Linked DNA regions of Canis lupus familiaris. The protein of the gene in region 1 purifies or fractionates together with the protein of each later gene. This does not show direct contact. Links are inferred from orthologs where the notes say so. Each region holds a gene or a part of one and is shown in the gene's direction. Other genes may lie near its edges.

The links.
Region 2: the proteins of NUDCD3 (region 1) and KLHL9 purify together in Homo sapiens (co-immunoprecipitation; 3 studies listed by BioGRID and IntAct, with this or other methods). This does not show direct contact. The link is inferred for Canis lupus familiaris from reciprocal best matches to the Homo sapiens genes NUDCD3 and KLHL9.

What each region holds. Positions count from the first base shown.
Region 1 is NC_049237.1:14,164,768-14,169,183, forward strand, and holds the start of NUDCD3 (nudC domain-containing protein 3), read left to right. Parts: upstream 1-1,604; 5' UTR 1,605-1,903; coding exon 1,904-2,095; intron 2,096-2,745; exon of another isoform or gene 2,746-3,050; intron 3,051-4,416.
Region 2 is NC_049232.1:40,905,501-40,909,763, forward strand, and holds the start of KLHL9 (kelch-like protein 9), read left to right. Parts: upstream 1-1,214; 5' UTR 1,215-1,576; coding exon 1,577-3,430; 3' UTR 3,431-4,263.

The sequences.
Region 1 (4,416 bases):
ATGGATCATTCTAGACTCCTCTCTGGCTTCTCTGTAACTTTCCATGCCGGGAGTGAGAAGCCTTACTCCAGCACCCACACAATTGCTTAATTACTTGCCCTCTAGATGTGTAGTATTTTCAGAGATGATAGCCCCCACCCTCCCTGAGAAACATGTTTAGGATGAAGCGTCTTTTTTTTAGCAACTTTTGCCTTTTGTCTCAGACTCCATTCATTTCCAAAGTTACTTAGCTCAGCATCTTTTTTCCACCATCTACAGTTAGGCTGCTTCGTACATTTGTAATATGGTTTGTTTGGCCATATTCTGCATTCCAGTCTGATGTTAGGAAATCATGCATGTAAAAGATCCACTCAAAGTGCATTACAGACTGAGAGATACCAATGTGACGATTAGGAAACATTTATTTATGTTTCAGATTCCATATTACAGCTGTTAAGAAACTACCACACGTTCAATTTTGGCCTCAAAAAATGATGCTTGTAGGGCAGCCCTGGTGGCGCAGCAGTTTAGCGCCGCCTTCCGCCCAGGGTGTGATCCTGGAGACCCGGGATGGAGTCCCAGGTCAGGCTCCCTGCATGGAGCCTGCTTCTCCCTCTGCCTGTGTCTCTGCCTCTCTCTCTCTGTGTCTCTCGTGAATAAATAAAATCTTAAAAAAAAAAAATGCTTGTATTTGAAAAGACAAAACACTCCTCTCATTTCCAACTCCAATCTGCGTAAGACTGGGTTTCTTCATATGTTTCGATCAAAACGTATTGCAATGCAGTGAAAGTGAAAGGTGGGAGACTCTTGCTGTTTTCTATTAAGCCCAACACTAAAGACATTTGTGAAAAATGTAAAGCTATGCTACTCTTCTGGGTAAACTTCATTGCTTTGAAGAACATTATTTCTTCATAAAAATGTTAACACGTAATGTGCTTGTGTATGTTTTTTTTTAAAAAAAATGAATAAAAAATTTTAAATTCTGAGTTTTAACATCCGATATGCTAACTATAAGAAGGGCGCACATAAAGGGCCTTTGGAGTCTTCAGTAAGCGTCAGGAGTGTGTGACGTCACTGCCCTAGGGCAATTTATCCGGGTCTAACTCCATCTACGGTTAATTGGAGCCCATGGACGGCGGCGATGTACGCTCCTTTGCAGATCCTAGTTGCGGAGAGCAGCCAGCTGCGTACCCAACCTAGCAACCTCACTGCGGTTTCAAGGTCCTAGGGACCCAGCTCCTCCAGGGCTCTCAGAACCAGGGCATTGCCGCTGACGTCACTCACTCTGCCGCCCGAGGGCAGCTCCGGCCGGGCCCCTCGTGCCCCCGAGCCGGCGTAGTTGTCTGCAGCTTCCGGCAAGTTGCACTGGGCGGCCGAGGGCGTCACGTGAGCGCGGCGCGCGCAGGTGGACGAGCCACACCCGCCTACACGTGTGCATCCCCAAGCCCCGAGCTGGTTGCGCAGCTCTCACCCCCGCGCCCCCGCCCGGGCCACCCAGCCCGCAGCTTCCTCCGCGCCCCCCTGGCGGGCCCTCTCCCCCCGAGGGGCGGTGCTCCGCCACCACGTGACAACAACGGGGCCCACGTGACGCGGCCCGAGCCACACCCCTTCCGCCCGTCTCCAACATGGCCGCTGGGCGCTCTCGGTCCTGCAGGCGCGGGCTTTCTGGCGCCTAGGAGCCACGTCGGGGCCCACGTGTGGTCCTCCGCGAGCCTGCCCGGGGAAGCCGGTCGGGCGGCGGGGGCGAGGCTCGCGGCAGGGTCGCCCCGGTGCCCACGGCCCGCCCCGATAGTCGGGGGCCGGGCGGGCGCAGACCGGAAGTTGCGCCGGCGGCGGAGCCGTTACTGCAGCGTGCCGGAAGTGGCCGTGGGCCGGCGTCCGGGCCGCGCCCGCAGTGAGCAGCGTCCCTGCGGCCGGCGACGCCATGGAGCCTGGGGCGGCCGAACTGTACGACCAGGCCCTGCTGGGCATCCTGCAGCACGTGGGCAACGTCCAGGACTTCCTGCGCGTTCTCTTCGGTTTTCTCTACCGCAAGACCGACTTCTACCGCCTGCTGCGCCACCCGTCCGACCGCATGGGCTTCCCGCCCGGGGCGGCGCAGGCCCTGGTGCTGCAGGTAGCGCGCGGCGGGCTGGCTGGCGGCCCTGGCTCGGGGGACGGGGGAGCCCGCCGCTCCCGGCCTCAGTTTACCCCTCGGGCTCCTGTCCGGCCCCGCCTCCCGCGCGCCGGCCCGTCGTGCGAGAGCGGCGGGCGCGCGGCCACTGGGGTGTGGGCGGGGGGCAGGAGGGGGGCGCCGGGAGGGAGCGCGAGACCGGGCCGCAGCGGTGAGCAGGTGTTTCCGGCCTGTGCGTGCGTCGTCAGCCGCCGCACGCAGGCCCGAGCCCCCGGCCCCGAGCCCTCCCACTCCCCGCCCCGAGCCCCCCCCCCCGGCCCCGAGGCGGGCCTCGCTCGGATCTCGTCTCCCCTTGCGCCGTGCTCGCTGCGGTCCAGGCGGGGACGGAGCCGCGCAGGCCCGCGGGAGGACAGGGCTGTTTGCGGGCAGCGACTTAGAGGCGGTTTGGGAGTCGCAGAAACGTGGTTGAGGGCAGGTGGGGCCGAGCTGGCAGGAACCTGAGAAGACGGAGCTGCTGGCGGCCCTCCCGCAGTCTGCGGTGCGGTGGCAGATGGCGTCCCCTGAAGTCAGGCTGGGCGCTGCGGGCGGGTCAGGTGTCCTGTTCCTCAGTGCTTGTGTGCAGACGCGTGAGCTCGGGGTTTCAGTGGCCAGCAGTGCCGTCTGGGTGGCCGGGAAGCTGCGGGTTGGTTGCCCGCGGGCCCTTAGGGAGGTCTCGGTGACGTAGAGCTTGTGCAGCCCAGTGTGGCCGGCGAGCTGCTTTCTCAGCAGGGTCAGGTGAAATCACCAGAGCCCTCGCGGAGCTGGAACTCACAGCTCCCTCTTTGTGATTTCGCATCCTTGTGCTCTACTACTTAGCCCGTGGCAGGCGGGGTGGCATTAGCATGTAGGAAAGACCCGGAGGAGCAGAAAGAACCATCACGGAGCACCTACCAGGCGCTAGTCCTCACCGACGTGAACGGTTGGTGTCTGCTCTCGTTTTACCGTCGGGGCGGTACCAGCGTGTAGAACACCTGTTACTTCCCAGACTGGATGGCCAGTTTAACCAGGGGAGTGGCAGCAAGGAGAGGGATGGATGGGAGAGGACCCGGGTGATTGGAATAAGGATGAGCGGTACCTGCACTGTTTGCTGAGTTGAGGAAGAAGAGCGTAGTTTTAGACAAGTTAGAATTTCAGGCCAAGCGTTAAGGGGCGGGAGAGGAGGAACCAGGGTGGTTTAAGAGCAGCACCTTGGGGGACAATCCCAGCGGACAGATGGAGAAGCATGGGGTTGCATGCGTGCTGGGGGGTGAGGGGAGTGGCGAGGGCAGCAAGTTGCACAGAAATCCAGGGGTTGCTTTCCAGCCTTTCTGACGTTGATTCCCAACAGCCTGCACTGCCCAGGAACCTTTAAGAAAGCAGACACGCCCCAGGTATTTTGTTGGGCGGTTGAGGGTGAGTCCTGGGAGCTGTAGTTCTGTGCACAGGGGCATTTGGCAGGAGGCTTGGAAAGGCAGGGTCAGCACTGGGCAGGGGCATGTTGTGCATGGGGCACGAAGATGCCGAGTCACCCTGAGAGACTCGCAGTGGCACTGTGGCTTAGGTCGTTTGCCTCCCAGGAGTTTTCTTCTCTGCACCTCACTTGGTAGAAGAGACTCTTCTGTGGCCACCCACCCACAGCACGTGTGTGGGGTCTCTTGCGAATGCAGGCAAAGAGGGTGGATGGGGCTGTTCGGATGCTCCACTATGGACCTTGAAGGTTTCCCGATGTTGTGGGGTTTGGAGTGTTGGTGTGGTGTGAGACTTTCCTGCTAGTTCTGAGGGCTTGGGCAGTCCAGATGCAGAGCTCTAAGGACCCTTCTTCAGTAGGAAAGATCACTCCAGGCCAAGATGTTTTAGGATCTTTAGTTTAGAAGGACATTTCATTTGTTCCGTTTGAGACCCTGTGCTCATCCTGGGTCCAGTTTGAGAAGCCTGCTTGGTGAGGCCTGTTGCCTAAGAGTCAGGAAAGCTGGCTCCATCTGGGCTCACTGAACCTACTGGGAGAGTCCTGTCCTCTGTGTCAGCAGAGAAGGTTGACGGGAGGTCACAGCCCTGTCTGCCAGCCCCACAGTGCTGCGGTTGTAGAGTGCCAAGCCACGGGAGCCCCGAAGCAGGTGGCAGGTTAGAGGAGCTTGCGGGGGGCGGGGGGCAGAGTCAGGGCACCTCGAGGAGCTCAGGCCTTGCCCACATCCGGGGAAGTTCCAGGGAGGAGGGACAGAGAAGGACTGTTCTTTTTTGTGGAGTTAGAGGATAATGAAGGTCTGGGACGTCAAGAGGACGAGTGGCTCTAAGGGCGAAGTTGGTGC
Region 2 (4,263 bases), on another chromosome or scaffold:
TGACGTACAAAGTTTTTATTCAGGAACTAATAATGGGCAAAAGAAACTATAGTATGTGGAATCATCGGAAAGTCCTGTAGCCATCTAAAAATGTGAGTGGATAGGGATGCCTGGGTGGCTCCGTGGTTGAGCGTCTGCCTTCCGTCCAAGGCGTGATCCTGGAGAGCCGGGATCGAGTCCCACATCGGGCTCCCTGCGTGGAGCCTGCTTCTCTGTCTGTGTCTGTCTGTCTCTCTCTCTCGGCCTGTGTCTCTCATGAATAAATAAATAAAATCTTTAAAAAAAAATGTGAGTGGATAGAAGGGGAGGTGGGTGGCAGGTGGGGGTGACTGGGTGATGGGCACTGAGGGGGGCACCTGATGGGATGAGCACTGGGTGTTCTATATGTTGGCAAATTGAACACCAACAAAAAATAAATAAATAAAAATATAAATAAAATAAAATGAAATAAAAATAAAAATGTGAGTGGAGAACAATTACAACGGAATTGCACTGCACAGCCAAAACCCAGGCTATACTATTCATGTGCCGTGGTCACAATTTGGTATTTAGAGACCCATGATCCGTGTATTAAACGACTAGTAATTTGAATATGTGAACCAAAATGGTAACTGAGGTGTAGGATAAAAATCATAGCCCAAGTGCTTTATCGAGGAACAGTTTTAAGCATCTTGCCCCCAGGGCCGCCGCCTCTTCCCCGTTGCCTTCCCATCTATACAAAAGCCGCACGTCATCGTTATTCAAAAGGCAGAAGCCAGGAAGTGTAAATCTTTAAAAAAAAAAAAAAGTATGAACTTAGGAGGAGAGCTCAGGCGCCGTGAGAAGCTCGCAGCACACGCGCAGCACCACGCGGGCGCCCCTGGAGCCCCAGGCCGCGCCCGCTCCTCCGCGCGACCCCGCCCGGCCCCCCGCCCCGGCCCCCGCCCTCGGCGCCTCCCGCACCGCTGCTCCCCGCCCCCACGCGCCCGCCCGCTGACGGGGCCCGGCGGCGCGCAGGCGCAGTAGCCGCCGCGGCCGCTCCTAGCCCGGGGGATCCTGGGACCAAGCCTTTCCGGAAGGACCGGCTCGGCGTCCGGGGCAGAGCCCGCGTTCCAGGCCCAGGCCCGAGCCAGGCCCGCGGTCCAGGCCGTCGTCCCTGCACCGCCGCCGGCGTCCGCGGCGACGCTCCAGCGAGCGCGGAGGGCGCAGCGGGCCGCGCGCTGAGGTGGGCCGGCCTCGCCGCGTCGCCGGCCGCAGTACGTGGCGGCGCCTCCCCCTTGGCCGGGAGCGGAACTGCTGGAGGAGCGGCGGCGCAGGCCGGACCGGGCGAACCGGGTCGCTTCACTGCCTTCAGGTGATGAATCGTCCGCAGAGCAATCAGATTTGAGGTCCGCAGCCCTCCGTGGCCCTGCCCGCCACCAGTTTTGAGCGGATGACCGGCGGGTGTGTTGGCGGGGTGCCGCGGTGACCGCTCGCCCTTGATCAAGGAAAGCGAGCCCTCCTGCTCGGGGCGTGCGCGGCTCGTCTCCTTGAGAGCTTTCAGGCCACAGCCTCGTTCCCCGGGGGGCCCGGGTCTCCGCGGGAGGAAGGCTTTCCCATGAAAGTGTCCCTCGGCACCGGCGAAATGGGCGTCTCCGCCCACCTACAGCCCTGCAAGGCAGGAACCACGCGTTTTTTTACCAGCAACACTCACAGTTCGGTGGTGCTGCAAGGCTTCGACCAGCTCAGAGTAGAAGGCTTGCTTTGTGATGTGACCCTGGTCCCGGGCGACGGAGATGAAATCTTCCCCGTTCACAGAGCTATGATGGCGTCCGCTAGTGATTACTTCAAGGCAATGTTCACAGGCGGAATGAAAGAACAGGATCTGATGTGCATTAAGCTGCATGGGGTGAACAAGGTTGGGCTGAAGAAAATAATTGATTTCATTTATACTGCAAAACTTTCTCTCAATATGGACAATCTTCAGGACACCCTTGAAGCTGCCAGCTTCTTACAGATTTTGCCCGTCTTGGACTTCTGTAAGGTGTTCCTTATTTCGGGAGTCTCTTTAGACAACTGTGTTGAAGTTGGGCGGATTGCTAACACCTACAATCTGATCGAAGTGGATAAGTACGTCAATAATTTCATCCTGAAGAATTTTCCTGCATTGCTGAGTACCGGGGAGTTTCTAAAACTCCCCTTTGAACGGCTTGCCTTTGTGCTTTCTAGTAACAGCCTTAAGCACTGCACTGAACTTGAGCTCTTCAAGGCCGCCTGTCGCTGGCTAAGATTGGAAGACCCTCGGATGGATTATGCTGCAAAATTAATGAAGAACATTCGATTTCCATTGATGACACCCCAGGATCTCATCAATTACGTGCAGACAGTAGATTTCATGAGAACAGACAATACTTGTGTGAATTTGCTTTTGGAAGCTAGCAATTACCAAATGATGCCATATATGCAGCCAGTGATGCAGTCAGATAGAACTGCCATTCGATCTGACTCGACACACTTGGTCACATTAGGAGGAGTTTTGAGGCAGCAGCTGGTTGTCAGCAAAGAATTACGGATGTATGACGAAAGGGCACAAGAGTGGAGATCTCTTGCCCCCATGGATGCTCCTCGTTACCAGCATGGTATTGCTGTCATTGGAAACTTTCTTTATGTAGTTGGTGGTCAAAGTAATTATGATACGAAAGGGAAAACTGCTGTTGATACAGTTTTCAGGTTTGATCCTCGGTACAACAAATGGATGCAGGTTGCATCGTTAAATGAAAAGCGCACGTTTTTCCACTTGAGTGCCCTTAAAGGACATTTATATGCTGTTGGTGGGCGAAGTGCGGCTGGTGAACTGGCCACAGTAGAATGTTACAACCCAAGGATGAATGAGTGGAGCTATGTTGCAAAAATGAGCGAGCCCCACTATGGCCATGCTGGAACAGTGTACGGAGGCTTGATGTATATTTCAGGAGGAATTACTCATGACACTTTCCAAAACGAGCTCATGTGTTTTGACCCAGATACAGACAAATGGACACAGAAGGCTCCAATGACTACAGTCCGAGGTCTGCACTGCATGTGTACAGTTGGAGACAAGCTCTATGTCATTGGTGGCAATCACTTCAGAGGAACAAGTGATTATGATGATGTTCTAAGCTGTGAATACTATTCACCAACCCTTGACCAGTGGACACCAATTGCTGCTATGTTAAGAGGTCAGAGTGATGTTGGAGTTGCTGTCTTTGAAAATAAAATCTATGTTGTGGGTGGATATTCCTGGAATAATCGTTGTATGGTAGAAATTGTCCAGAAATATGACCCAGAAAAGGATGAATGGCATAAAGTTTTTGACCTTCCAGAGTCACTTGGTGGGATTCGAGCTTGTACTCTCACAGTTTTTCCACCCGAGGAAAACCCTGGGTCACCTTCTAGAGAATCCCCTCTTTCAGCACCTTCAGACCATTCTTAGGACTAAAATGTAGTACCTTTGCAGTGCATCATGGATGATCTCACACTTCCCCTTAAATTGTATCTTCTTAAAGTGATTGGTGCAGTTATTAGGTTAAATGGTAACTGATGTTATTTGTATTGCTTGGCTCAGTGTGTTTATCCGTATGGTTAACAAATGCATTCTGAAAATGTATTTAACATAGCCAGCTGTTTTAACAAATGTAAAAAAGATATGTAGAAAAATGTTTTAGATGTCTTTGTGGTGTTGTGTAAGTCAAATTGTAGGTGATTGTAGTAAATGTGTAATTATGTTCGTTTATGCTTCAAAGCTGCAAGTTTTCATCTTTCACTTCAGAACATCGAAGGGAGGCTGCTTGCTCTGACCTAAAATAGTAAAAGGTCGCCAAATATCACCTACCTTCCCTTTTTTCATAATAGTTTTTGACATCGTTGACAATTCACCAGATCGAGTGCATTCAGAATATGTGAAGTTTCCTAGATAGGAGAAATAAACAGCGTACAAAACCCTAAGTCAGGATTTTGTATCTCTGGAGAGAGGGAAAGGGAGAGAGGAAATATAGGTATGTATGCACATAAACACATCCGTATGCATACATACATGTGTATATACATTCATACAGCTGTACACATACATATATAATTTTAAAATTGATTGGTATTTCGGCTGTAGGAAAATTGTTTCTAAATTAAATTTTTTTTCTTCTACCTAGCAGCTATTTCTATCCAAATGGGAATTCAGTACCAGAGAATAAGTATCTATAGAATCGTACTAAATTGAGATAGATAAGGGCTACAGCATATTAAACTGACTACCAAATTTGTCATTTGACT